Rhinolophus ferrumequinum: one gene and its partners. The protein of the gene in region 1 binds, or shares a complex with, the protein of each later gene. Links are inferred from orthologs where the notes say so. Each region holds a gene or a part of one and is shown in the gene's direction. Other genes may lie near its edges. The genes, in order: PPP4R3B, PPP4R4, PPP4R2 and PPP4R1.

Region 1 (6,859 bases):
TTACTAAAATATGAAAATTGGCGGACAAAATCTAATAAATTTACTAAATTATAATTATGATTTGGACCCAAATGCAAATATTCACACCATAAAATTTTCTAAGATTCTTATAGATGTAGGAATTTTATTAATATATATTATTCTGCAAACATACATATTTAATCTGATTTAACCACATTCCATAGGTTAGATCTGGGGGAAGCGGGGGGTAGAGGGGCTGTTTTTCAACTGTTGAGAGTTTAGTGTTTATTTTTGTAATCCAACAACTTTATCCAAAAATGCAGAAAATTTTTCTGGGTGGCCAGGAGGAAAATATTTCACTGTTGATAAGTCCACTGACTGTAACAGCCCAGGTAGTGTGCTGCAGGTACAGTAGAAGAGATGTCCATCTTTGTGTAGCTGCTTTGCCAATTCCAGCTGATGATTGTTCATCAACTTTTCATTTACAACCACTACAAGTGGTTTTCTTTTTTCCAGAGTCTCCAAACAGCTTCCTGCACCTGCGTGACTAATAACAAGATCTGCTTTCTCAAGGTCTTCTTTCAATGAATCCTTATACCTGTAAACATCCAGAGTAAATGACTCAGTACTGAATGGTTCAGGCACCACCTTTCCTCTACCTATTTGTAGAACGAGTCGGTTGTAACCAAGGCTCTTGAAGATTTGCAGACTGTCGTGTGCTGACACACACGCAATGAGGTCGTCAAAGCTGGTGGTCCCCACAGTAACAAACACGCACTTCATCCCGCAGGTTCTGAAGTCCTGAATCCTTGGAGTGGAATTTTGATGACTGCCTGAAGAAAAAAAACTTTTCTGGGAAAAACACATTGCTGCAGTACAGTACTGTTCTCAGACCCAAGTAAGCACAGGCCGTTTTAGAGGGACCCGCTCTGGCCTGCTAGCCGTGCTTCTCTCCAGGAGGTGATAAGTTCATGAAACCATGGGATGTGTTCACCTGGAACCCACTCTCCCCTTTTTAGACCATGGTCTGGGCATCCTGGAATTCCTCGCCCCAAAAGCCAAGCCTGCTTCCAAGGTCTACACAGTGCTCTTTCCAAGTTCTGTCCTAAAGAGTAACCAAGGCGTGACTATATTCAGGGAGTGTAGACAGGGCTTGGACAGAGGTTGGGGTATCCTATGCGTGCAAATAAGGGCTGTCAAAGTGCAGGACAGTGCTGAGGTGTGAGAAGAGAAGGAAGTCAGACTAAGGGCCCTGGGGGCCAGAGGGAGATGAGTTCTGACTAGGTCAAGAATTCCAGATATGAATCTGGCTTCCAGGTCATTATGAAAATATGTTTGTTAAAGTATACCAAAGGTTGGAGAATAAAATATATATTTTTTAACATGATTAGCTTGATTTAAAACTTACAAATATTTAGACTTATGGCATATGGTCTTCCATTTGTATGCTTGTCCTGAGCTTTGTAAATGTCAATTTCTACAAATGTTAGATGGGACTGCTGCAGAAGAGATGAGAGTGAATCCCTGTGACCTAGTGGAAGAAAACAAAAAAAAAGAACATGTGCCTGAGAACCTAGCAAGGGGCAGACATGAGTCCCATTTAACTTTGCTCCCTTATTTCTCTGAGTCACCACATCTCAGGGGCTAAACCAGGAAAGAGATTCTGAAGGGAAAATGGGAGGGATGCTTTGAAATACTAGTCAGATCATTTCACTCCTCAATTCAAAACTTTCCAATGGATTTGCAACTCATCCAAAGTAAAATCCAAGACCCTTCAAAACACCCTATCCCACTCCCAACCTTATTCCTCACCATTTTCCCCCCTTTTCACCCACTTCCTTGCTATCCTCCCTCCTTCAGCATGCTGCAGCATGCTAGGCCTTTGCACTTGCTTTTCCAGCTTCCTGGCTCTCCTGCCCTGGGGAAATGTTTGGCTGATTGGTTGCCTCAGAGGACTTCCTTGATAAACACCATTACCCTTCCCTAATTCATTCTCTAACCTTTTGCTACTCTATTTTTGGTCATAATGTTTATCAGTACCTGGCATATATTTGTTTTATTATTTCCCTATGCTATAATGTAAACTCCATGAGAAGATGGACTTTTTCTATTTTATGCATTGTATAGAACAGTTTCTAGCACATAGGAGTAGTATATGCTCAACAAACACTTGTTGAATGACTGAATAAATTCGGAAAATGACTCATTATTTGACAATTTTGTCCAGTTAGATCTACTTGTAGGCTATTAACCTCTTAACATGTATAATGTTTAAGTGACGTCTTTATAATTCTCACTCCTTTAACATATATATAACATATATATGTTCTTTTAGGCCACTAGCACATTATCATTTTGTTCATTCACTCTGTCCCTTCAGCCTTGAACACCTTTGCAAGCCAAACTCCCACTCAGGGATCCTCTTACATCAAGCTCAAAGTTATCTGTATCAAGTTTTCTTTGACCCGAGACAGAAACGTTATTTTCTCCGGGCTCAAAATGCATTTTTTCCACAGCAATCATAGCAACTAATGAGCCAATTGTTATGTAAAACTACTTGATTCAAATACATTTTCTGAGGTCCTCTTTAAATTAAAAAAAAAAAATCCTATGTATCCAGATTTTGAAATTATAATTTATTTTTTTTTATCAGGCACCTGCTCTGAGTACGGCATTGTCTCACGTTTTAGTGTACCGCTGAATGGTGTCCACACAGAAGAGCTGATCAAAACAAAAGCACGTTTAGACACGACCACAAATTAAGTAATGACTACAATTCCCAAGATGCCCTGCAGAATCAACGTGTACTTCTGGCCCGGTTTTCACCTTTCACGCTAATGGGTTGTAAAGAACTGGCGGCTGAACAAACTGAGACGCTTTAAGAACCCGGATTAAAATAAACGACTGCCCAGTGCATGATTTGTAGCCACCGCGCAATGTTTGACACGGTGTTGTTTGACAACGTGAATGCCGAGAGAATTCCTCCTTTGTTTATTCAGCACAGAAGACCTCCCTATAGATAACGCAAGAAATGACAAGAGAAAACTCAAAATTATCAAAACAATGCTCCTAGATGTGTTAGAAAGGTAACTCCCGCAAGTTCCCTAAATTTATCTAAAGACTTATTTTCCGACGTTACAAAAACACAGGAAGGGCACACTGTATTTTCTAGAAGTGGGAAGTACGTTTTTCAATGGCCAACTACCAAAAAATCTAATAACAGTGAAACGCTTTGGCGGGAAAGGGGTATTGTCAATACACTTTTTTGTACGACGTTACAATTACCTGGAGATCCACAGAACACTTCCTGAGGGGACACTTAAAATGTAACAGACTCCACAACGAGTTTTAGTGGATTTCGGGTTACCCTAAAATACTCCAAGTTCCTCTGTCTTCACAGAAAGAGGTTTAAACTATTTTGCTCCCACAGGCTAACAGAATGAGCTTCCAATAGGAATGCGAATCCCTTTTTTTGCCCAGGGTTACCCGGTCCAAGGGTGCGTACCTTCCGGGTTTGCTTTGCTTTTCCTCAGAGCTGGGTCCCACGACTAGCCGCACATCAGGTGCAGTCAGCAACAGCACCGAGGAGAATCCACAACTAAACTCTCGCTCTCCACTCAGACAGGTCTCGCGGCAAAAGGGGCGGGGTGGGGAGCACCGGGAGCTCGCGAGAACCACACACATACAGCCGAAATCTCGCGCCAGTAGGCGGGGCCTAGAGAGGAAGTTGCAGTTAGGCCCTCCCACCCCGCCTCGAGAACGCCGAGCACTGCTGGCCCGGGAAGCGCAGGCAGCAGCGGAGGTGCCGCGCGTTGGGCTCCTCGGCCGCCGTAGCCCCTGCTAGGACAGCCCGTGCGAGCCTGCGGGAGGAGGAAGAGAAAGGCAGAGAGAATCGGGTTACAAGATGGCGGATGTGCTGTAGTTAACGCGGCGGCGGCGGCGGCGGCGGCGGCGGGAGGGCTAGCGAGCTCTGGGGGGCAAAGGGAGGGGAGGGTGGGTGTGTGTGGGGGTGAAGTGAGAGGTAACTGGGACTCCGCGCGGACAGGTCTCGGTGACTCTTGTTGACCCTTCCTGCGGCTGAACCTTGGGAGTCATGGTGAACTCGGGCCTCTCCGGAGCCGCCGCTGCCGCCGTCTCTCAAGAGTGAAGGGTGCGGACGAGGTGAACGAGGAGGCGGCGGCTGGAGCGGTGGAGACAACAGCCACGATGTCGGATACGCGGCGGCGAGTGAAGGTCTATACCCTGAATGAAGACCGGCAATGGGACGACCGAGGCACCGGGCACGTCTCTTCCACTTATGTGGAGGAACTCAAGGGGATGTCGCTGCTGGTTCGGGCAGAGTCCGACGGTAAGGTTATTGGAACGGTAGGATAGGGGACAGTGCCTCCAGTTTGGGCACAGCCGTGGGGTTTAGGCCCGAGGCAAGGTACTGTTACTACCACCTCTTGGGACAACGCATTGATTTGTTCCCGCACCTCTGTACGGTGAAAACAAACTACTTTCTCCGGAATTTACCCTCAGTCAGATGCGGATTCTCCGTTCCCCCGCCTACTACCCCTGTTAAGGATTTGACCCCTTCCTCTCCAGTCTTTTCTCTTTTGAAGAGAGGAGAGCGAGAGAAGGGAGAAAAGTAATGAGAGACAAGTGATCTCCAGGCGTCCTAGGGAACCGACCCTCCCCCTTCTTATTTTTCCTTTTACCCCTTATATGTCTGGTACAGAAGGTTTAGTGAAACTTTTCTTTCTGAGTGTCTTTTTTTTCTGAACCGATTTTACCTACGAGCCCCAGTTGCCACAGTCGACAGGTGTTGAGGAAAACCAACAGGCACCTTTTAAAGCCCGGGGTTATTGCAGACTGTTGCCACAATACATGCACGCACAAGCGCATAAATCTTCAGTTTGAGATCCCTCCAGGCTGCCTTTGTAGGGGTGCTGTGGATACTTTAGAACCGAAACAAGTTAGGACACCAAAGCAGCATGTAAACTTAATTAAAACACCTTTCTCGTAATCTGAACGCCTCGATTTGAACAATTAGGTGCAGCTAATAGAAAAATAACCTTAGATTTATTCTTGACGTATTTTGTACCCTTGCACTTTCTCTTTTATTGTAAATAGTTATGAACATTTATTTCTACATGAGGTGTCCTTCCTTTTGTTCTTAAGGAGAAAAGGATAAATGCAGTGCTGTAATTTCTCTTTGTGATCCTTTGTAATTTGTTTTATTTGTTGAACTGGAAATGCAATAAAATAACTTTGTTAAAAAGACTTTGGCTTCAAGTGGTCATTTAGACCTTAAAATTTTCATTTCAATAAAACTTTAATGATCATCTAGTCTGCTTATATTCTTGGTCTGAATGTTGATCTTAGATGGATTTTTTTCCTTTAAGGGTTTGTGGGGATAGGATATGTTCTAAATTAAATACAAAGCCCAGATCTGGAGAGAAAAATGTGAATTGGAATACATTTGATTACTTCAGATGTCTAGCTGAGTGAAGAGAACACTTTTATTTTTTAAATGTGGACTCTGATTGTTTTCTTTTATTCAGGGTCTTATAAATTGAAACTTATAAATATTATTTTTTATCTTTCAGGATCACTACTCTTGGAATCAAAGATAAATCCAAACACTGCATATCAGAAACAACAGGCAAGTAGTTGTTTATGTTTAATTTGAAAGACTTCATCTGTGATCAAGGAAGTGTTAATCTGACAGAGATGGGAAAACTTTCCTGACAAGAATGAACATGTTTGGTACACAAAATTACAAACCAAATGTATTTCCCTTGCAGGTTAAAAGTTGCAAACTGAAAAGTAGAAGTTTTTGTATTGGCAATAATTTATTATCTTTGAATTGAGCCACTGTTGCTTTATATTAGAATACAATGTATTCTTTAGTCTTATTTAACTTAACCAGTTAGCCAGGTCTCTGTTATACCCTGTACACTAAGCTTTTTATTCTCATTTAAAGGAAATGGCATACAAGAAAATTCAAAGGGGTACTCTTTAAAGCAAGGAAAGGCTGTTTGTGGTGTGAAATTAGATCCTTTGACTCAAGCAAAGGTAGAGTTTTGAAGTAGAAACATTTAAATCCTATTCTTTATTGTATATTTTAATATAATAATGGATACTTTACAAAAGTGTACATTGTCGATCATGTAATGTTTTCTGTTAATATTTGTTGTTTTGTTTGGGAAAAGAAAACCTGTGTTGTGTTTTAGCATACCAAATTATTTAATCTGGAAATAGCAGCAGTGATTCAGCCTTTTCTTTATTCTGTGAATGTTTTCATTTTTAATATGAGAGGTTCAAATTGAAAATACAGAGAATAATATAATGAGTGTCTGTGTACTACAGCCAGATTTAACAATGTTAACATAACCATATTTGTTTCAGATATTTTTGTAATGTTGAACGTTGTGGATAGAGTTAAAGCCCCCTTTGTATCCATCTCATTCTATCCATTCTCTATCTTACCTATAGGTAACTACTATTCTGAAGTTGATGTGTATTATTTCTGTACATGCTTTTATACCTTTCTACATATGTATGTATCCATGAATAATATGTAGTCTTGTGTGTGTTTTTAAACTTTACACAGTTGATCTCGTACTCTTACATGTATTCTGCAACTTTCATTTTTCATTCGTTATTTTGAAGATATGTTCATGTTAACAATGTAGATCTAATAGGATTTTTAAAAAAAACACTGTATAGTATTCTGATGTATGATACCCACCTATTAGACACTTGAATAATTTCCAGGGTTTTGTGTGTGTGTGTGTGTGTGTGTATGTGCCCGCACGCGCGCGCAATATGTAAAGTGAATATATGGCAGAGATTTTTGAAGGAAAAGATAAATTATTTTAAGATTATATTTATGTCATCAATGCCTACTTTC
Region 2 (7,161 bases), on another chromosome or scaffold:
TGTATGTGTGTACTTACAAGAAGCGGAGTACAGCATTAGGAATAGAGACAGTGGAAAGGTAATGGCTGTGTGCGATGGCAGGGGGATGGTGGATGGGGGGAGGTGGGGGTAGGTGGGTTCTCACAGTGTGAGGGATATAAATGATAAACGTCTAAGTATTACTTTGTCTTGTGCACCTGAAAGTAATAAAAAAAAAAGGGGGAAAAAAAACCCCAGCTCTCCCTATTCTGAAATCATAAAACTGTTCTCGTGTATTTTCTTCCAAAAGTTTGAAAGATTTGTCTTTCATGTTCAGGTTTTTTTTATTTACCTGAAATTGATTTTTTTATATGGGCTGAGGCAGAAATTTAATTTAAATATTTTTTTCTCACACTGATAATTGCATTAGTTTCCTATTGCTACTGTAACAAATTGCCATCAATCTAGTGGCTTAAAACAATATAAATTTATTACCTTCCAGTTCTGGAAGTTAGAAGTGGGTTTCACCAGACTAACAGCAATGTGTCAGGAAGGCTGCATTTCCGTTTGGAGGCTCTAGGAGAGTTGAGTTTTTTGTTTTTGTTTTCCTTTTCCAGCTTCTAGAGGCTGCCCATCTGCAGTAACTTTCCATCTTCAAAGCCAGCAAACGGCCAGTCAAGTTTCTCCTCCATCATATCACTCTGACACCGACCCGTCCTCTTGCCTTTCTTTTGTACTCACAAGGACCCTTAGGATTACATTGGGTTTACCTAGATAATCCCAGATAATCTCACCTCAAGATTTTTAAATTAGTCACATCTTCCAAGTCCCTTTTGCCATATAAGTTAAGATAGTCACAGGTTCAGGGGATTGGAATGTGGACATCTTTGGGAGAGCATTACTATACCTCCTACAAGAATCAGTTGATTCAGTGCAATTTATCAAATCTTTCTTGAACCTGGGTATGGAGGGACACTGGTCTGGTGGTAATAACAACAACAACAACAATAACAATAATAATAGCAAACACTGTGCCAGGAATTTCTCTAAGCATTGTATGCATATTATCTCATTTAATTCTTACTACAAGACTTTGTGCTAAGCACCACTTTTATTCTGGTTTTTAAGGTGAGTAAAGTAAGGGACAGAGTGGGTAAGTACCTTGCCCACAGTAGGAAGTGGCAGAGCCAGGATTCAAAACCAGGCAGTTGGGCTCCCAATTCCATGAGCATAACTCCCATGCTATCGTTGAATGAACGAATGAAGTGAATAAATTTAGCTTCCCTTAGCTGGGTGCTCAAGCCTAAGTCACCTAACTTCTCTGACCCTCAGTTCCATTATCTGTAACACTGGAATAGTCATGCATCTCTTCTGTACTTCACAGGGCTGCTTCTGGGGCACATTGAGACAGGTCTTAAGAAAGCAGTACAGATAAGGAAAATGGGCTCCAAAAGTCGTTCCACTGGGTGTCATTGGCAGAGCCAGGACGGGGACTCAGGTTTCCTGGCAGCCCAGGGGTGGGTGTGGGTGGGCTATTTCCACCACAGGGTGGTAACTGTAGCACTTACAGATTCCAGCCATCAAACAGAACATTCCTCTTCAACAACCTCCTGCCCTGTAACAGCCAACATCAAAGGTACGTCTGTGTATTCAATCATCATTAAGAATGTTAGCAGGTGTGAGATGATGCTCTTACAAAATCCAAATATGAGCTAATACTTCTTAGCTGAAACAGGGTCAAGTTTGCAAGTATTATTATCAGTTACAAATGAGAGGAAAAGGAGAAGAATTTCACAACATGACAGAAAAGGGAGGCTGCAAGGTATTTGCTGAGGAAAACCACCTCCCTCTTCTCTTTGCCCCTTCTCGGTCCTGATCCTCTGAAGATCTACCTCTTTTTGCTTTCCCTCCTTAGTGGCATAGAGATCTGAAAACCTGGATTTCAGCTTTGGGGTAGCAACCGTTTTGTTTTGCTTTGATCTTCAAAAGGCAATATTGAAAAAAGGAAAAAGAGGAAAGGGTGGGAGGATCCACTCTACCAGTTATTAGGACATAACAAAGCAACAAGATCAGGGCAGCAGTGGTGTAAATCAGTGGAACAGCAACGAGAACCCAGAAACAGAGACGTGTGTCTATGGAGACTGGGCATACTATACAGACACCATCACACATTGGTGGGGAAAAGATGGATTGTTTGGTAGATACTGCTGGGAAAACCGGCTCAATGTGTAGTGAAAATAATATCGTATTCCAACTTTGGATGAATTAAGAACTAATTATGATAGGTAAAAGTATGAAGCTAACGAGGGGAAAATAGAGAAGAATATTTTGCGACCGTGGGTAGAAAAGATCCTTAAACAAGACCCCAAAGCATACTCTGCAAGGCTAAAATCGGATGCATTTGGCTACACCAAAATGAAGGATTTCCCCTACTCAGTAGGATAGCAGAGACCAAGATAACAGGATGCTTGAAAGATTGGGAGATATTTGCAATATCCAAGACTGACAGGGATTAATATTTAGAACATACAAGAATTCCTTCAATTCATTCAGAAAAATGATAGGAAATCTAGCAGAAAAATAGGCAAAGGATGTCAATGGGTACTTCACAGGAGAAAATCTCAGTGGTTCTTAAGTATATGTGGAAAAATGGTTAACATCACTAATCATGAAACAAATACAAATGAAAACTACATATTACTTTACCAATATCAGATTGATATAAATTAGGACATCAGATAATTACCAAATGTTATGGTATAGAGTGGGAAAACAGGAATATTCCTATCTTTATGTGCCATTCATTGGTGGGAGTGCAAACTGGCAAAGCCATTTTGGAAAGCAATGTGGCAGAGTGAAACCAGGCAGTGGAGACTCCATGACCCAGAAATTCCATTTCTTTCTTATGGTCCATGAGAGACACGTCTAATACCCATCCTAGCATTGCCTGTGATAACGAGGAACTGCTGGCAACCTAACTGTCCGTTATTTAAGGAATTGATAAGTAAAACGTGTTAGGCGCACAAATCCAATAACATCAATGGTAGGAATTAATGAGCTCTAATGCATTACGTTGAGGGAAAAACAAGAAACAGAGTTCTTAGCACAATATCATTCATGTATATTAAAAATAGATACATGAATTAAAAACAGTATCTTTCCAGGATATACACTTGTACTGGTACATATCTTAAACACAAGACAGAACGGGTAAATGGGGAGGGGATAGGAAAATGCGCGTGTGGAGAGAGAATGAGTGGAAAATAACAACGACAACAAAAAAAAGGGGGGGGCCTTGTTGACGTTTACGAGCTGAAGAACACGGTCAACATAACTCATCCCTGAGGTTCAAAAACTGCCCGTCTCACTTTCATCGCTTCCTATTCTTAATAGAAGCAAAAAGCAAGCGTCTCAACGTGGCTGCCCAGAGCAGGGCCTGCCTGTCTTCCACCCACCTTGCCAAGCACTCGCTTCCCCGCACTCCAAGTTCTACTCTGAGTGCACGTCCCACAACCCACACACATTCAGGCTTCAATCCGAAATGGCCTTACTCTGATTCATTTCTCTTGGAAAACTCTTCTGGATCGTTTAAGATTCAGTTTAAGTTGTCTCCCCTCCAGGACTCCTTTCCTGACCGCTACTTTCCCCCAAATGCTAGCCCGTCCAGGACCGCATTCCCATGCACTCCTTCCCCATCACCCCGCTACTCGCCACGGTGTAATTGCTTATTTGGGGTACACTCCCCCCAGAGCTAGAGCTGAGCTAGGCTGCTTTCTGTGTCCGAAGCTAGCCAGCTGGGGTGAGCGGACCTACAAATAACCGGAACGTCACTCCAGCTGACTAAACAAGACCCCAGCCCACCTCCCCATCCTTTGCTTCCCCTCTTATTGGTTCAGCCTCTCCGCCCCCCGCCCCCGCCCCTAGCACGCCCCCAGCCCGCCCCCGCCGGTTGCGGGAGGTGGAAGGCTCTGCGCACGCGCCGCGGGGTGGGGCGCACTCGGTCAGGGGCTGGCAGAGGGCAGAGAGGGCGTGGTCAGAGGGGCAGCGGGGGCCGCAGCGACGTTGCTCGGCAGTTGCGTCCAGGCCGCGAGCGCGCGGCGCCCGGGGGGGCGGGGCTGAGGCGGGCGCGGTGGCATCGCTCCCGCCCCTGGCCCCGCCCCCGCAGCCCGCCCCCGCGCCTCGCCCCGCCTCCTCGTCTTGCCCGTCCCGCCCCCTCGGCGGCCGCGCTCCTTCTCCAGCTGCCGGCTCGCCGCCCGCCGGGTTCCCGCGGCCGAGAGCGGGAGAAAGTCCTGCTGGTGGGCGGCCGCGGGGCTGCGCGTGTCCGGCATCCCGGGGCCGCTCCGGCCAGGGCGGCGAGGGGGCCCGGCGGTCCATGCATCCGCCGCCTCCTGCCGCCGCCTCTGCGATGGATTTCAGTCAGAACAGCCTGTTCGGCTACATGGAGGACCTGCAGGAGCTCACGATCATCGAGAGGCCGGTCCGCCGGAGCCTCAAGGTGATCCCCGGGGAGGAGGAACTGCCTGCAGGGCGCCCGGCGGCCGGCCCGGGCCCCGATTTCCGTCCCGTTCCCCGTCCAGTCCCCGAGGTGGACCGGGACCCTCTCGGAGTCCGGCCCCTCAGCCCTCCTTTGGTCGCCGTGTCACCCGAAACTGGCCCCTCTCGGGGCCCCTTCTTCAACGCAGCCCGGGTTCTCTCTGCCTGGCCCTCATCCCCGAGGGACGGGCCCCTGGCTCACTAGTCCCCTTCCCCAGTCCGGCCCCCAGGAACGGCCGGCCGAGACCCTGTCCTTCCGGCCAGTCCAGCGTGTTCCCCCCACGCCTCCCCTCTCGGACAGCCGTGGCCCCTCAGTTGCGGCCCTACTTCCCCCCGCCCCTGCAGAGCTCCGCTTCGGAGCAGCAGCCGGCTGATCCTCGGTCCTCTCTTGGGTGCCCCCCTCCGCGGCCCCCTGGTACTGCCCGAGTTCTGGCCCCACTCCTCAGTCAACACAGCCGCGACTCCTCCCCCCGCCTTTCCCCGAGACACCCCAGATCCCACCCGCCCTCCTCCCCCGCATCGGAGCACGCTCGGGTCCCCCTGTCTCCAAGTCAGCCCGGGCCTCCCCTCGCCTCCCAACCAGCACCCATACTAGAGCCATCCTGCTACCACCCATCTTCAAAGCGCTGTCAATCCTTTGCCCCCATCCTGAGTCACCACACGTCCTTTCCTTCCTTTCCTCCCAGCCCCTCCAGGACTCTAGCGGGGACCCTGCTTCTCACCCTCCTTGAGGGAGTCAACCTTCTCTAGCTCCCCCCCACCCCCCTAGCTCCCCGACCCCGCAGAGTCATCTTCCTCCCAGCTTCCCAGAGGCTCCAACCCTCACTGCTGGCAAACCTAGTTTACGGAACCCCCTGCCCACCCCCATCCTCTTAATAGCTTTTTTAGCTCCTCTCACTCCCACCTGCGGCAATATCTCAAATCTCTGATTTCCTCCCAGCCCCAGATTTTATTCGCCACCCCCCCTCCAGATTTCGTCTTTTTCATTCCCACTCGGCTGCAGTCTTCATCCATTACCCTTTTAGCATTTCCTGGGGTGGAAAATGCTGGAGAGCCTTGGGGTGGTAGAGATAAAAAGTATAGATATATTTTATGTATGCATATAAAATTAATTACAGCAATGTTCTGAAGCCGCAATGTGCTTCTCAAGGGTCAATCTAAAAGCTAGAGAGTAAAACAAGAGAGAAACAAATAAAAACCAAACCCCAAACCTCCACCACCCAAACCTAATATTAGAGACCTCTCTGATTGAGGTCATCATTAGAGTCTCCAGGCCATTGATTAGTTTTCAATGATGATGCTTAATTGTGAAACTTTTCCATTAGTCAGTAGTAGTCATATAGGGTCCCTGGAGGAGTACTGGGGGACAAGACTGATGGATATTTGTGTGCATAATTTGTATTTTACACTTGACAGACACCAGAAGAAATAGAAAGATTGACAGTTGATGAAGACCTCAGTGATATTGAAAGGGCTGTTTATCTGCTCAGGTATTTCTGAAAGTCTTTCTGTGACATTGCTGCTTTTCCCCTGTGGCTGCATAGTGAATGCTTTCTGAAATGTCACGTTATACTTATGTTCAGATTTACTTAACCATTTGAACAGAGTACTTTTTCATGCATAGCACTTATTATGTTATAAGTTAAGATTTAGATATGGACTTATAAATTTGAGAGCTGAAATCAAATAAGATACCTTGCTTACAGAGTATTGCTTGGAGGAGGAACAGAACAAGTAATGGTTTGAGTTGAACCTCATTTTTTTTTTTTTTATTCTCCAGGTTTGGTGGTTCTCATACAACATCCAATACGTTTAGATGAGATTTAAGAATATCCAGGGATTAATTTTAAGTTAATTGTAGAGTATGAACCTTACATGCTATATACCATATATTAATAGAATGTGGTAGTTCAACTTATTGCTCAGGACAGCCTGTTCATATTACTTTTGCTATGTGAACTTTATAATGTTTTATGAGAGATTTAAAAATTTAATTGTGTCTACTCTCATTTAAGTTTCATCTCACAAGCTCTACAGAATTGCTTAAGGCAAATGGTTATTGCAAATATTTACAAAATTTCTCTCAACTGTTTTAAAAATTGTGGATTTAGCTTCTTAAAAGCTAATGCAGTGAATGTTAATTTAATTAATCTATGAAAATACTTAAGAAACAAAATTTCCTAAAGTATTTTATGTACCTATGTTTTAAAAATTTTCTTTTATTTGCACATCCCTCCCTCCCCCCCTTTTTGACAAATTAGTTTTCACTTTTGTTTTTCAGAATCAGATTTTGAAAACTGGTGTTATTTACCTCCTGGGATATTTGTCATCCATGTTTCTTTAGCTTAGGTCTACTTTGCCAGTTTTAGGTGCTGACAAGTTTCTTGTTCTCCTTTCTTGTTCTCCATTTCTAGACCCATGTTATTCATTGAAGAATCCTGTAAAAAAAAATTCCATCTCAATATGTCCATTTAAAAACATTATTTTTTAGCCTTTTAGTGAGTGGCATCTTGTGTTTCGTCCTTCGTTTAGTAAGAATTTTAGCATGCTTACAATTTAGACCTTTCTTTCTGATAATTCTATCAGTTTAAAGTGTTTCTAGATCTTAGACCTTATGTTCATGTTCTTTTTGTGTTATTTGGTAGCTACTTTCATCACTTGTACCTGTTT
Region 3 (7,310 bases), on another chromosome or scaffold:
TTGAAGGGCCTCCAAGGCTCTCTATAGTGGTATTTTAGGCTGCCTATTCACTGTCCTCCAGCCCCCACTAGGGTGTGGGTTTTTCTAGACTTTCCCTCAATTCCCTCTTTTTCTCCTTTCCTATATGTCAGAAGGATGGCCAAACTCCAGTAATTCTCCCTGGAATTATGAATAGATCCTTGCACATTTTCTGTGACACAGTCCAGCTGTTTTCCTTCTCCCACTTCTCTTTCTGTTTCTATCTTCCACCTTCTACTCCAAGTTTTCTCAAGTACAGTCTTTTTCTGCATACACCACGAGCAGTGGGCTACTCTTCCTGCATGTTCATGTTTGTTTAAAGTTCATCTTTCCCATTAGACCATGAGATCAGTAGTGGAGAAGAGATTGAATGCACATCATCTCCCCAGTACCCACCATGTTTTCCCAAAAATATGACCTAGCTGGACAATCAGCTCTAATGCATCTTTTGGAGCAAAAATTAAAATAAGACCCGGTATGATATGATATGAGATGAGATGAGATGAGATGAGATGATATGATATGATATGATATGATATGATATTACGCCCGGTCTTATAATGAAATAAGACCCAGTATTATATTATATTATATTATATTACATTATATTATATTATATTATATTACATTATATTATATTATATTATATTACATTACATTATATTATATTATATTATACCCGGTCTTATATTATAGTAATATAAGACCGGGTCTTATATTAATTTTTGCTCCAAAAGACGCATTAGAGCTGACTGTCCGGCTAGGTCTTATTTTTGGGGAAACATGGTAGGAGGCCCTCATGGACTGTTTGCCTGGTTAATACCATTCCCTCTGCCTGGAGGACTCTTCTCTGTAGGTGCAAATCTTTCCCAGTCATTAAGTGAGGCCCTTCTAAAGAGCAACTGTCATCCCTGCCTGGAAGAGATCACAGGCCTCTGACCACGGGATTCAGGTACTTGCCTTCTACTTTACATTGGAGTCTATGTGCACATCTTACCTTTTCTGATAGTTTGCAACCTTCTTGAAGACAAGAAACTGTTTGGGAGCTTTGAAGTCAGTCTCTGTTTGAATCATGGATCAGTCACTTGCCTGTGTAGTTGTGTGTGACCTTGGGTAAGTTAGCTCACCTATTTATACCTCAGTTTTCTTTTCTGTTAAGTAAAGATAATAATATCACCTCTCTCATAGGATTTTTGCAAGGATTAAATATATTTTTGTAAACTGCTTAGAAGAATGCTAGACATATAGAAAATACTTAATAAATGTTAGCTATTACTATTTTCTCATTTGTTGCATTAGTTACCCATTGCTGTGTAATTATCTTAGAATTTAGAAGCTTAGAACAGTTACAAACATTTGTCATCTTTCATAGTTCCTGTGGATCAAAAATTGAGGAGAGGCTTACATGGGTGGTTCTGGTTTGGGATCCCTCGTAAGATTGTGGTCCAGATGCCAGCTGCAGTCATCTGAAGGACTTCCTGGGGCTGAAGGACCTACATCAAAGGCCTCAGTCCTTCTCCATTTGGGCCTTTCCAGAGGGCTGCTCTAATGTTCTCATGACATGGTGCCTGGCTTCCTCTAGCATGAGTAATCCAAGAGCCTAAGACAGAAGTTACAGTGCCTTTTATCACCTACCTCAGAAGACAAACACCATCCCTTCTGCTGTACTTTTACTGGTCATACAGATGAGCTCTGACTGAGAGTGGGAGGAGACTACACTAGTGCATGAATGAGGTGGAGATCATTGGGGGCAATCCTGGAGGCTGGCTGTCATATTTGTATTCTCTTTTCCTCCAAGGGAATTAGTACCAGTAGGAGGCTTTAGCAATTGCCGACACTAGGATTCACACTGGCTAGAGAAAAATTCCAAGGAAGAAGGAAGAAATTAACCAAAGGAAATAATTCTACAGTCTCATTTCTTGCCTCTTCTCCCCGTGCACTCTCAGCTTACATCAGACTGAATTTAAGACCTAGCCAGACAATCAGCTCTAATGCGACCTTTGGAGCAAAAATTAAGACCTGTCTTATTTTACTATAACATAGTAAAATAATATATTATTATGTATTATATATAATATAATATAATACCTGGTTTTATATTAATTTTTGCTCCAAAAGACGCATTAGAGCTGATTGTCCGGCTAGGTCTTATTTTTGGGGAAACCTGGTAGTGGCTGTTGTCCAACACAGATCTCATAGGAAGAGACCTGCTGGAATAGAGTACAACATAGTGGAGAGACATAGAGGCTAAGCTTTGCTACATGGAGAGTAGGCCCCTTCATACCCAAAAGGACCATGATAAACTAAATCCAGTGCATGGTAAGTGCTGGTCAAGTACGATTAAAATCTTCCCTCCTCCCCTTCGCAAGGTTATTTGTAATTGAACTAGATGTCTGGACAATGAAAGGGTCTACAGACACAGTGACTGGTTCTCTGATGGCAATATTAAGGGATTTTCTTTTTTTTTTTTTTGGAGTGGAGGGGGGCGGCTTTTGCCACATCTGCCATATAGAGTCAGGGTCAGAACCACTATCTTTTGGGAGAGTCAACAGTTGTAATGCCTGTTCCCAAATTTGCACCTTTTAACACAAGTCAAGAAATAGCCTTTTCTCCCTCCTCCCCGCCCCCTTCTTTCCTTTCATTGCTTTGTGCCAGGCTTTGAGAAGTGTTGATTCTGAGACTTAAGATGTCTACCAAGAAAGGCTCCTGTGGCAAACTGGACTCAAATTTAAAAGCAAAGCCTAGCAACCATTTCTAAACAGGGACCTCTCACATAAACCACTGCAAACCATGCTTGGGAGAAACTTGCACTGAACTGCCTGCCTGTACTGAGTTTCTGCTGTCTGAGCCAAACCTTATAAAAAAGAGGTTTTGGAATTGTATTTCAACCAATAGGACTAAGACTTTCCCTGTCCAATAGGAACTGTGCAGCTACATCCTCACTAGCATCTTCACTGACCAATCAGAGCAACTCCATTCTGATCAATCAGGAAAGTTCTTTTGGGGCCAATGAACCATGACAATTTGGAGTCCTTATTTGCATAAGGATGGACCAATCAGGGACCAGGGGCGGGGACTTCTCTTTGTATAAGCCAGCGGGCCCGCCCCCCCACTCCGCCCCCTCAGGGAACACATTTAATCTTTCTATTGAAGGGTGAGGATTTAGTTCTCCATGAACCACAGCAGAGTTGACCAGAGCAAATCAGAGCTGTCTAGCCTGGGAAGGGCCTTGCCCAAGGGTCACCTTGCAGCCCTGCTTTTCTCACAGCCTTGCTGTATTACAGTTGAGCTGTTTGCACTGAACAGTTTCCTTCTTCATTGCACCCCGGAATTGGGGATTTATCTGTTGGCATTGAATTGGTGCCAATAGTTGTTAGTTGACAGGTGAAAAGGTGTAATAATTCAGTATCAGAAAAATATCCACTTACTGGGAGCAAGATGTTCTGGGTTTTGGTGCTGATTTGGCAGACTAGCTCTCTATATCTCAGTTACCCTGTTTGTAAAATGTCAGGGCTGGATTGGACATCTGAGGTCCCCTCCATAACTTCCTGGGCACTTATATAATCAAAATCACAATGATAAAAACAGCAGCCAGGTTAACTGATAGCTTACAAGTTCAGGCCCCGTGCTAAACGCTTCATATTCACCATTTTGCTACAGCCTCATGGCTGTTTTACAAATCACCATTTTCAGATGAGGAAACTGCGGGTCCGCTCTGTGAGTTTACGTAACTAGTCCGAGGTCACACCAGGAATAGTTTATTGGGTTTTGAAACCAGCTGGTTACAACCCCTAAGCTTTTAATTAATTACTTTTCTGTATACCTTGCCTCTCCTCAAGGGTGGGTCAGTGTTAGGTTCAGGCCGGGAGGGATTCTTGTTGCAATTATTAGTAATTCTGAGTGTTAGTTTTCTGCCTACTCGGACACACTCTTGCTTAATTCTCACAGTATTAGTATAGAGTAGTCGATACTAGTGCCCTCATTACACATAAGGGAAAGTGAGGTTCAGTAAACTAATGAAAATCAAACGTCTAGCAAGAGGCAGGCGCTCAAAGCCAATGGGTGTGTCTCCAACCCCTGGTTTGACCATTCCTCCTTCAGAACGGTGCAGGCACATCAGGGCCACCACCAGAGAGACCCAGCGGCTGGCCCGGGGCCGCCTGCTCCGGCTCCCGACCTCCCAGGCGGCACGCTTCCGTCGCGCACGCGTTCTCGGGCTCTGGCTCGGAGCGCGCGGCGGGCACGAGGACGGCGGCGGGCAGCGTGCGCGCGGTGACGTGCCGGGCGCCATGTTGGAGGGCTGGTGGTAGCGGCTCGGGGAGGTGTTCATTCTCTCGGTCTCGCTCTCTCACTCGCTTCCCCCGGCTCCCTTCGGTGCCCCCCTCCCGTCGCCTGCGTGCGGGAGTGTGTGCGAGGGAGGGGGTGGGCGTCGGGGGGTGGGGGGAGGCGTTCCGGTCTCCAGAGACCCGCAGAGGGAGGCGGAGGCTGCGAGGGACGCCGGGAAGCCATGGACATCGAGAGGCTGCAGGAGGCGCTGAAAGGTGGGGGTAGCTGCACCCTCTCCCTTCCTCCTCACCCTTCCCGACTTTCTCTCCTCTCCCTTCAGTTCGGGTGGCTCCGAGGGCCGGGGCCGGGCGTAGGTGGGAAGGTGCGCTCACCCGGTTCCCATCCCCCTCCCGCCTCCCTAGGGGCGGGAGCCCTGTGGGCAGGTCCCTCCCGCCTGCTCTGGGCTTTGTGTCCGCCGCCGGCGTCTAGGCTGGGGGAGGGGAACCGGGGAAGCTCTCACAACCCCAGCCCGTCACACCCTCCGGGGGCTGGTCGTGGGCCCGCAGCCCCCTTCTAGGCAGGCTCTCTTCTCCGTCAGGCCTCCGCACGACTGGCGTCGGGTTAGAGTAAAAAGTAAGGTTTGGGTAGGGGGGAAAGGGTGGCGAAGCAACTTTAAATTTGTGTCTCAGTAAGCCTTTTTCAGGGCTTCTGGAGTCATTCCACGCGCCCTATTCTAAGGTGGTCGATTTCACTGTTCTTAATGCTCGCCTTCCAAGCAACAGGCTTGAGAGCAGTGGTTTTCAAACTTAGAATAGCGTGATTTATTTAGCCTTTTGAGAATTGTGCTTTGAAATGCAGAATCTTGGACATGGTTACATGAGATGACTAGTGTTTCTTAAAACAGATTTGTGAATTTAACATAGTTAAACAATTTGTGGGGAATGAGGCCTGGGATTTTAATTTTAACTGGATTTTCAGATGAAGCTGATCGGGTGTTCCCCTGGGCTACACTTTATATACTGCGTTAGGATGGTTGGTGCAGCTGAGTGCCCTCTTTAGGGAGATATTTGTTCCCTGTGCAGAGGGTGACATATGAAAGTAACTCTAGGCGAGTTGAGGTGGATAATTGGTTGAGAGGCTAATTTTTTTTTCCTTATTCTCCTATGAGGAAGGACTGGGAGGAAAGTTTGCCTTTTAGAGGAGACTGGAAATAGTTGATGGACTTATGAGTGATATTGATAACTTTTTTTCTTCCCGTATCCAGATTTTGAAAAGAGGGGGAAAAAGGAAGTTTGTCCGATCCTGGATCAGTTTCTTTGTCATGTAGCCAAGACTGGAGAAACAATGTGAGTTGAAAACGTGTATTTGTTGTAGACCTATGTATCATTCATAATTGCTTGAAAAAGGGAAAAACGTGTATTTCAGAAGATTTGAATAATTCATCTGTGTAAAACATACAAGCAAGTGAAGTGCCAGGCATTTAAAGCACTTATTAAGTGCATGTTCCCCGGGTGCCAAAAAAATGCATACGAGTAGACACTTTGGTCAACGTTCCTCAAGCAGTAGTTTGCTGTAATCAGAAGTGTTTGGATGCTGATGGTAACCACTTTGAGCACCTCTTATAATTGCTGAAGTCAAATGTGACTTGTATTCATCTTTTGTTGTTGGTCTGTATTGAGTATTATAAATATACAGTTTTTTCCTTTCTTAAAATGTGTATACATTGTTTTTGACACCCTCTATATGCATACTCTGTGATGAATTTAAAAAAAAAATTTAACTTTTTTTATATTTATGCTTGGGTACCTTTAGAATTTACTCGTCTGAAAGAGCCAAAAAAAGGAGGAATGACTATTCCATTATGACCCCTTTTTGGCCATAACAGGCTTATTTCCAGGGATTTGTGGCTTTGATTCTGTTTTAGATTCTTTTGTTGGTGATATTTTCTCACATTGTCCTATATCCAACCTTTTCTTGTCATATTTATGTATGTAGGTGTCACTTCTATTTATTCTCTTGTGAACTCAGAGATTATGTGACAAATTCCAGGTTGCTATAGTTTTGAGTATCCTGTACACTTTCTAGGATAGCTAACTTGTTGCATATGCTCAGCATTTTATTAGGTTTATTTCCAAATGTCATGAATCTGGAACTTAAATTATAAAGTTAGGATTGTTTCAAAGAAACACTTCATTGCATTGTTTTGTGGTTAGTTTGAGTAGCAGGAGTTGTTTGCACACTGGCTAAGTTAATTTGTAGAGAATAATGCAGATTTGGTGACTTGTAGTCTTGTCTTTGGGTAGGGAGTGGGGGGAACAGGAAAGGGAAAGTTTTCTTTGGGTGCAGTGTTAATAAGTAGGCTTTCTCTGGGCTCCCCTACTTCTTGCGTATTTTAAAATTTCTTTTTGAGGCCTAATGTAAGAATGTAAGCTTCAGCAAACGATGTATGCTTTCTTTGGCTTTATTAGCAAATGTTTGTTTGCTTATGGTTGTAATGAGGCCTTCTAATAACTAGCCTAATTTTAGAAAGAAAAAAACCTTCTTTGCTTTAATGGTCATGTAGACAAACTGAATCTCCTTAGTCCTTTATTAAAATTACCAGTCAACTTAGGAATATGACTATTCAATCTTATTTCTATTTATTGCATTTAAAAAATGGAACCCTTTGGGGGAAAAAGTCATTTTTTGTCTCTTAGAACACTTGATTTCAAAAAATTGATGCAAAATAACTAACTGGTATTTATATAGATAAGCTTAAGAATGACTAGACGTCAATTTTCAAAAGTAAATTAATCCCTAAATTAGATTGCCACTGTTTCTTTCAAATTGCTGGTTGGTCCGAACTTACCACTCTCTACATTATCAGGAGGAAAAGCATTTTACTTTCAGAGTTTTGATACACAAGATTATATAAAACTATTTGGAAATAAGTACTTAAAACCTCTTATTCATCTTGCCAGATCTGTACAAATTTTCTTCCCTTTTTGGTAAAATACATTGACTGTAAATGCATAAATAGTTGAAGG
Region 4 (7,995 bases), on another chromosome or scaffold:
AAATGTGGTTATGTTATACATCTTTTTTTTTTTTTTTTTTTTTTTTTTTAGGAGGGCACAGCTCACAGTGGCCCATGTGGGGATTGAACCAGTAACCTTAGTGATATCAGCACCACACTCTAACCAACTGAGCTAACTGGCCACCCCTGTTATACATCATTTTAATGCGCATTTTTCAGTTTATGTTTTTTTTCTAATGACTTATTACTTGTGGTTTATTTTATATTTATTTTAGACTATGGAAATGATGGTAGGCAAAAAGCAAATTCGAGTGATTTTCTTATTCGAGCTCAAAATGGATCGTAAAGCAGCAGAGACAATGCATTTGGCCCAGGAATTGCTAACGAACATACAGTGCAGTGGTGGTTAAAGAATTTTGCAAAGGAGAGGAGAGTCTTGAAGATGAGGAGCGTGGTGGCAGGCCATCGGAAATTGACAACGACCCACTGAGAGCAATCATTGAAGCTGATCCTCATACACAAGAAGTTGCCGAAGAACTCAACGTCGACCATGCTACGATTGTTTGGCATTCGAAGCTAACTGGAAAGGTGAAAAAGCTCAATATGTGGATGTCTAATCAGCTGACCGAAAATCAAAAAAATCGTCACTTTAAAGTGTTGCCTTCTCTTATTCTATGCAACAACAACGAACCATTTCTTGATCGGATTGTGATGTGCAACAAAAAGTGGATTTTATATGACAATCAGCGATGACCAGCTCAGTGATTGGACCAAGAAGCTCCAAAGTACTTCCCCAAACCATACTTGTACCAAAAAAAGGTCATGGTCACTGTTTGGTGGTCTGCTGCCTCTCTGATCCACTACAGTTTTCTGAATCCCAGCGAAACCATTACATCTGAGAAGAATGCTCAGCAAATCGATCAGATGCACCAAAAACTGCAACACCTGCAGCCAACATTGGTCAACAGAAAGGGCCCGATTTTTCTCCATGGCAACTCCCAACCACAGGTTACACAAACAACGCTTCAAAAGTTGAATGAATTGGGCTACGAAGTTTTGCCTCATTTGCCATATTCACCTGACCTTTCGCCAATGAATTACCACACCTTCAAGCATATCGACAACTTTTTGCAGGGAAAACACTTCCACAACCAGCAGGATACAGAAAATGCTTTCCAAGAGTTTGTCGAATCCTGAAGCATGGATTTTTGTGCTGCAGTAATAAACAAACTTATTTCTCGTTGGCAAAATGTGTTGATTGTAATGGTTACTATTTTGATTAATAAAGATGTGTTTGAGCCTAGTTATAATGATTTAAAATTCACAGTCGGAAACTGCAATTACATTTGCACCAACCTAATAGCTTAATGCCTGGTACATAGGTCTCGAAATGTTTCAAAATGTACCATATTACCTATTGGGAGAAACTAGGTGAAGAAGTGTACACAGATACTCCCCGTATTTTTTTTTTTTTAACTTCCTGTGAATCTTCAATTATTTCAATATAAAAAGTTAAAAAATGTATTAGTTATCTTGTATGTGAATTGTATTGTGTCATTGTGCTAATATTTTTCTTACCGAATGAAGGCTCAAGGACCAAGAACACAACAATTTTGTTACAAAGAGATACACAGAAAGATGAAATTAGGATGGAAACAATTTCTTCTGAGTTATAGAACCATAGGGCAGCCATTAGTGTGAAAGAATCTTAGAATCAAGACAGTTTAATCACCGAGCTTTTCTGGGTTTTAATGTGTGGTTTACTTATGATTTTTTCCTGGTTCAATTTGACTCATCCATTCAGATTCAGAATAATAAGCATTTCTTCAGCACTCACTCTGCTGGACAAAGTTGGGATAGGCTCTTCCACATTTCTTTGAATGTGATTTCAATTAATGTTTTCTGTATTTTAAGAGAAAGATATTTAATGAAAATCAACACTGCCATTTTTATTAATTTAATGCTATTTTCACAACTTAGTTTTTCTAATGAAATTAAAATATGTGGAACACATTTTATAGGATGCCTCACCTCTGCTGGGATAACTGCAAAATTGCTCAGTGGAGAATCCTTTTGGCTCTGCTAATCTGGAGCACAGTGAAAAGCACTGGAGTACTTAACAAGGTGGATAAGAAACAAAGGATTTATTTTCCTTTATATTCGATTTACAGTGGTGATTCTAGTAACAGGATGCACTATTCTGGTCAGAACAAGCCTATGCTAAGAAACTTGCAGCTATGGCTAACCGTGGGACAGAGCTTATGTTCTACTTCATTCTATGGGCCACCTTCAAGTTCTGTAAATTGGGAAGCGCAGCCTGAATAGACACCTCTGGATGGGGCTCAGTTCTGTAGCTACTTTTTTTCCTTCCTTCCTTCCTTCCTTCCATCCCTTTTCTTCCTTCCTTCTTTCCTCCCTCTCTCCTTTCTCTTTCTTTTCTTTCTTTCTTTCTTTCTTTCTTTCTTTCTTTCTTTCTTTCTTTCTTTCTTTCTTTCTTTTTCTTTCACTTTCTTTCCTTCCTTTCTTCTCTCTCTTTTTCTTTTTCTTTTTTTCCCAAGTCAAGCTGTTGTCCCTTCAATCTTAGTTGTGGAGGGTGCCATTCAGCTTCAAGTTGTCCTTTCAGTCTTAGTTGTGCAGGGCGCAGCTCAACTCCAGGTCCAGTTGCCTGTTGTTAGTTGCAGGGGGCGCAGCCCACCATCCCTTGCGGGAGTCGAGGAATCGAACTGGCAACCTTGTGGTTGAGATCCCACTGGCCCATGTGGGAATCCAACCGGCAGCCTTTGGAGTTAGGAGCATAGAACTCTAACCGCCTGAGCCATTAGTCCGGCCCTCTTTTACTTCCTTTTTTTTAGGATTGTGTGAGAAAATGTATCTGTAGCTGGTGTGAATAAAAAGAGATCCAGTGTTTTCGAAAAACAAAACTAAATTATGAAAGCTATAAGAAAGGCTAAGATTTCACTTTTTGGAATGTCATCTTGACATGGAGCTTTAAAAGGAGACAAGAAGCATAGAAGAAAAGATAAGAATAATTTCACACAAATATTTACCTGTATACCATTTACCAAAGTATGTATGGGAAGCTTTAGGTAAGAGATTACCTAAAGCAATCAATCAAAAAAAAAAAAAGAAAATAGTTGTTCTTTTTACTTGGGAATGTCAGTCTGTGAGTGATGTTTCATAAATCTGGATCAAAAAAAGAAAACAAAACACCGAGATGAATGAAAATAAAGGTTAAAAAAATTTGTTTAAAAAGTATTTTTACCATATAAGTATTTCTCCATTTTCAGATTGATTAATTTTTGTATTATTCAAAACAACAATTAATAATCTGCCTTTTATGTACGTTCAGCTTTAGGAACGATCAAGCTGAAGAAAAAAAGTAAAGAGTCCAAGGGGTGGCGGGTTAGCTCAGTTAGAGCACGGTGCTCTTAACAACAAGGTTGGCGGTTCAGTCACCTATGGGTCACTGTGAGCTGTGCCCTCCACAACTAGATTGAAACAACTCCTTGACTTGGAGCTCATGGGTCCTGGAAAAAACACAGTTACCCAGTAAAACTTAAAAAAAATATATATATATATATAAAATAAATAAATATATATATACATATATATAATAAAAATTTTTTTAAAAAGGAATAGTATCAAGCAACGCCAGGCGGTTTTTTTTGTTTATTTGTAATACTTTCCCCATTATGTTTATTATGTTTTTGTTTGAAGAGCAAAATCATCAATTTCCAAGGTTCCTTGCTGCTAATGAAAGTTTTCACTATCATTTGGAAGAGGACTTATTCTGAAACATTCTGGCCTTAGTAGCTACATAGTGGGATAACACTTTTTTAAAAGGTAACTTGTGACATTTCCTCTATTTCACAGATTTGAATGGCAGAGCAAGTTAAGGATTAAGACTTTGTGTTGTGTTCTGACTAGATAATACACAGCTTCTGGTATCCACAGGCTACATTGTAAGTGAAAATGGGGTAAGGGTCCATAGAATAATGATTGCTATATTTTTAGATATCATTTTTTTTTAAGGAGGGAACAGAGTGCATTTTATAAATACTGGTTTTAAAACCGTTGATCTTATCTTTGAGAAAGGAGTAATGAGAGAAAATCAAATGTAAAAAACACGTACTTGTGCTGAACTGTGAATGAAGATATTCTCACTGAAATGTCTAAACACCATACTCCCTAAAGGGACATGCTATAATGTGTAATGCAGGTAAGATAACCAAATTCATAGGTCTTGAGCAATATGGACAAAGTTACACAGACCCTCCTTCTTTGCTGTCTTCCCAGAGAATACTGAGATCAAATTTATTGAGGCCTAGCGACCAAGGGCAGTTAGTCACTCCATATCCTACCTAGGCTATCATTTGGTAGGTAACCTCTATTTTATGATCACGGAGAATTATACTGGGTAGATCGTCCAGATAGTTTTGTCTTTGCATGTACAGTGGCTGAAGAATAGTTGACACTCTGTAAATTTTGTGTTGTGAGATCACCAGTTAGTGTAAACAGCCAAATCATCTTCCTTCCTCCTTCTACCCAGAATTACTAAAGTGGTAGGTGTCAACAAGCCAAGTACCACAGCAGGGCAAAACCCTTACAGATTGAGTCAGCTGGGGTTGGTTTCTGTTGCTAGTTTGTAATTTCTAATGCCCTGTCATTTTGAGAGTTAGTGTCACAGTGAATTCACATAAGGGCATTCTGCAAGGTCAGGAGAGAATTACGACAATTTAGCCTTCAGTTTTACTTACTCTGTATTTGAGAAAATTAGACACATAACTGGAGTCACAGATTGTATTCCAATTTTTATTACTCTCAGATATTTAGTAGATACTATACAATTTGTTCTATGTTGTAATATCTGAAAGGGAAGTTTTTGGAATAGCTATGCAGAGCCCATTTTATCACACAGACATGAATTTCAGAGGATCTGATACACACAGCAGACGAAAGCTCATTAACTATTTATAATTCCCTCTCCTCCCCAAGAGTCCAGATCCCCAAACTGGCATCAATTAAACAAGTCCTTGTTTTGTTCTCCACTTCAAGAGATTACCATTTTGGAGGCCTTGGATAGAATTGGAGATAAGATTAGTCATGGAGATAGGAGTGTGAAATGGAATCAGAAAACCTAGGTTTAGCCCCCACTTTGCTCTTTCTTGAGAGCTTGAGCTACTCACTTAACACATGTAAAAAAAGGAGAATAATACAGATTTCAGTCGAGTGCAAGTGCTGCCAAAATTATTTAAACTATTCAAAGAAAAGAAAGCTAATCATAGGCACCCTTCGTCGAGCACCTCCTAGATATCAAGTACTGTGCTAGGTTGCTGACATTCTTCATTAATCCCAATAATCCCAAGAGACTGTTATCATCCTTCATTTTACAAATGGGTCACATGCCTACTAAGTAAATGGCAGAATCGAGATCTGAACTGAGGCCTGCCAACACTCTTGCTGGAGGATCTCCGCTTTGTCAGCTCAGGATTAGCAGGACATGGAGGTAATACTCTGTGTCTAAGAATTAAACGTGCAGGGTGGGAAAGCCGGGTGAACAAGGATGACTTTCTCACTCCACGACCAGGAAACCGGGCCCTCGGCTTTGTTACCAGCCACTTCGCAAGTGTCCCCGGCGCGCTGGGAGGCGGCGCTTCCTCCACCCGAAGGGTGGGACTCGCGGCCTCTGCTTGGCCCCAGATCGCCGCCGACGTACGTGCAGCCCTGGGGAGGGGGCGCGGGACCGCGAAGGGCGCGTCGGCGAAAGGTTGCGGCCAGCGAGGTTGTGGGCGAGGCTGGTGACCCAATAAAGCGGGCCGGGCCGCGGAGGCCCCGCCCGGTCCCGGGCACACACCGCAGGGTCCCGGGCCGGCGGCACAGCTTGCGCGCCTTCGACCGAAGCGCTCGGCTTGAGGGTGCCTCCGGCCGAGCCTGTGAGCGCGCGCCGCCGGGCCGGGCCTGGAGTGAGGGAGGCGGGAGGAGGGATCACCCGCCACCCGGGAGCCGCACGGTGCGGCCGGGCAAGGCGGGGCGAGGCCCGGGGCCCGCCCGCCCCCGGCGTCCGGGAGCCGCTCCGCCCGCGCCCCAGTCCCGGGCCCTCGGCCCGCCCCGCGCGCGCGTCCCCGCCGGCCCGTCCCTCCTCCTCGCCGCCCCTCCCGCGCGCGTCCACCGGCTCCCCGGCTCGCGCCGCTCCATGTAGCCCCGGATACCCGGGAGACCGAGGAGGAGGGGGCGACCACAAGATGGCGGGTACGTGGCCCCCTGTTCTCTGGGTGGCGCGGCGGCGGCGGCGCCTCCCCGCGCCCGCCCGTCTGCCGCCGCCCCGAGTGGCTGCCGGGCCGAAGCCGCCGGCGCGGGGAGCCGCCGCGGGGCCGGGAGGGCGGGTGGCGGGCGGCTGGGGCGGCGCGCAGTGTCCCTGAGGCGCTGACCGGGCCTTTCTTCTCTCCCCTCGGCGCAGACCTCTCGCTGCTCCAGGAGGACCTGCAGGAGGACGCGGACGGATGTGAGTGCGCCCGCCCTGCCGTTGCTGTCGCCGGCGGCCCGCGGGGAGCGGCCGGGAAGGAAGGGTGGGTGGCGGCGGCCTGGGCCCGGCCCGGCGGGGGAACTGCCCGGCGAGGCGTGGTCCTGGACCGGCGGGGGTCCCGATTTTGAGAGAAAGTCGCGCTTTCTGGAGGAAACGGTGTGCCCCCGTTCCACTGGCGGAGAGAGATGCCCTGAGTAATATTCCAGCTCGGGTTCTGTCCCATCGCCCACCCCTCTCATCACCTCCAACTCTCATGTGGCCCTGGGAGCTGCCTGGCCCTCTGTTTTTGAAGAAAGTGGTAGACAGAAATTTGAAATGGGAATTTGGGGTGTGTTTTCCCCTCTGTGAGTGCCTTCCGGGGGCCGCCCCTTTCCCCTCAAGCCTCCTGAGGAAGAAGGCTATAAGGAAGGAAGGTGTGTTTCCTTAGAGTTGCTCGCAAGTTAGCGGCCAGCTGTAGGGACGCCTGGTGGTCCCTGTTATCGTCCTGGGTTCGCTGGTCCCGTTTCTGATTGTAAGGAGGTGACTTACCTGTAATTTCACTTTAGCTCTTAGCAGTTTTTACGTTGCTCCACATCATTTGATTTGTGATTTACGGGAAGCTTAGAAGGTGTGGCCTTGGCAGGAATCGTTAGGTTTAGAAAGCATGTTTCTTTAATGCAAATGTTCACAAGTTATCCATACCTCCTTAAATATTAAAATTTCAGCTTTCCTTTGAGATAGTGAAGTTTTACAAGAGTTGATTCTTTTGTTTTTGTTTTTTATTTTAAGTTGATATTGTTTCCAGAATAGTGTTAGAAAGGAATGTTCATTTCCTATGTGCTTTTTTAACAACAGAAGGTAATTTGGAAATTATTCTGAGTTGAAATGATAGCCGTGGTAGAATGTGTGGTGTAGTTAGTGGAAAGCCTGTCGGATACTGAGATTTACTGTGACTAACATCTGTATAAGTAATTCAGAAATAGCTACAGTTTGAAATAGCTCTTTTAAATACTGTGTGATTAATCCTTAGCATTGTCCAATATGGTTTCCCTTGCCCAAATTAAGCTTAATTTTTCAATTCCTGGATGTTTTGAGTGAAGTAAAGGGAATTTATTATTTAGAAAGATTCTATAAAAAGAGTGATTATTTTTAAAGTAATTGAACCATATGCAAGCTTACCTTTTGCTAAGTTTGGGTTTATTTATTAAGTAAAAAGCTCTCTTAAACGGAGCAGTACTCATATAGCAAAGGACAGCTTTTACATTTCATTTACTGTTTTTCCTTAGAGCACTTAGCGGCCTACGAGTAAATTTAAATTGTTATTTAAAGCAGCTATTGATTTATTGCAAAGTTAGGATTAGAGAGATAGCTCTGGCTTTCACCTCCAAACAGGGGCTTCTCATTGTTGTATTTTGATTCAAGACTTTGTAAATAGAAGATACATTCATTCAGCATGTGTTTAGGAATGTCTGGAGCTTCTGCATATTCATTTATTTTCACTTAGGTGCCATGCACTCTTAAAGGATGAGCTGC

The links.
Region 2: PPP4R3B (region 1) and PPP4R4 share a complex: the UniProt entries of both Homo sapiens proteins name them as parts of the PP4 complex. The link is inferred for Rhinolophus ferrumequinum from reciprocal best matches to the Homo sapiens genes PPP4R3B and PPP4R4.
Region 3: PPP4R3B (region 1) and PPP4R2 share a complex: the UniProt entries of both Homo sapiens proteins name them as parts of the PP4 complex. The link is inferred for Rhinolophus ferrumequinum from reciprocal best matches to the Homo sapiens genes PPP4R3B and PPP4R2.
Region 4: PPP4R3B (region 1) and PPP4R1 share a complex: the UniProt entries of both Homo sapiens proteins name them as parts of the PP4 complex. The link is inferred for Rhinolophus ferrumequinum from reciprocal best matches to the Homo sapiens genes PPP4R3B and PPP4R1.

What each region holds. Positions count from the first base shown.
Region 1 is NC_046296.1:32,150,120-32,156,978, forward strand, and holds the start of PPP4R3B (serine/threonine-protein phosphatase 4 regulatory subunit 3B), read left to right. Parts: upstream 1-3,852; 5' UTR 3,853-4,167; coding exon 4,168-4,309; intron 4,310-5,552; coding exon 5,553-5,608; intron 5,609-6,859. Other genes in the region: UDP-N-acetylglucosamine transferase subunit ALG13 homolog, read right to left, coding at 247-744. UniProt on the Homo sapiens protein: Regulatory subunit of serine/threonine-protein phosphatase 4 (PP4). May regulate the activity of PPP4C at centrosomal microtubule organizing centers.
Region 2 is NC_046289.1:8,955,307-8,962,467, reverse strand, and holds the start of PPP4R4 (serine/threonine-protein phosphatase 4 regulatory subunit 4), read left to right. Parts: upstream 1-4,154; 5' UTR 4,155-4,330; coding exon 4,331-4,453; intron 4,454-5,907; coding exon 5,908-5,981; intron 5,982-7,161. UniProt on the Homo sapiens protein: Putative regulatory subunit of serine/threonine-protein phosphatase 4.
Region 3 is NC_046300.1:66,761,211-66,768,520, forward strand, and holds the start of PPP4R2 (serine/threonine-protein phosphatase 4 regulatory subunit 2), read left to right. Parts: upstream 1-4,310; 5' UTR 4,311-4,525; coding exon 4,526-4,559; intron 4,560-5,548; coding exon 5,549-5,630; intron 5,631-7,310. UniProt on the Homo sapiens protein: Regulatory subunit of serine/threonine-protein phosphatase 4 (PP4). May regulate the activity of PPP4C at centrosomal microtubule organizing centers.
Region 4 is NC_046302.1:8,401,848-8,409,842, forward strand, and holds the start of PPP4R1 (serine/threonine-protein phosphatase 4 regulatory subunit 1), read left to right. Parts: upstream 1-4,981; 5' UTR 4,982-5,523; coding exon 5,524-5,893; intron 5,894-6,074; exon of another isoform or gene 6,075-6,202; coding exon of another isoform or gene 6,203-6,209; intron 6,210-6,417; coding exon 6,418-6,462; intron 6,463-6,507; exon of another isoform or gene 6,508-6,526; intron 6,527-7,966; exon of another isoform or gene 7,967-7,995. UniProt on the Homo sapiens protein: Regulatory subunit of serine/threonine-protein phosphatase 4. May play a role in regulation of cell division in renal glomeruli. The PPP4C-PPP4R1 PP4 complex may play a role in dephosphorylation and regulation of HDAC3.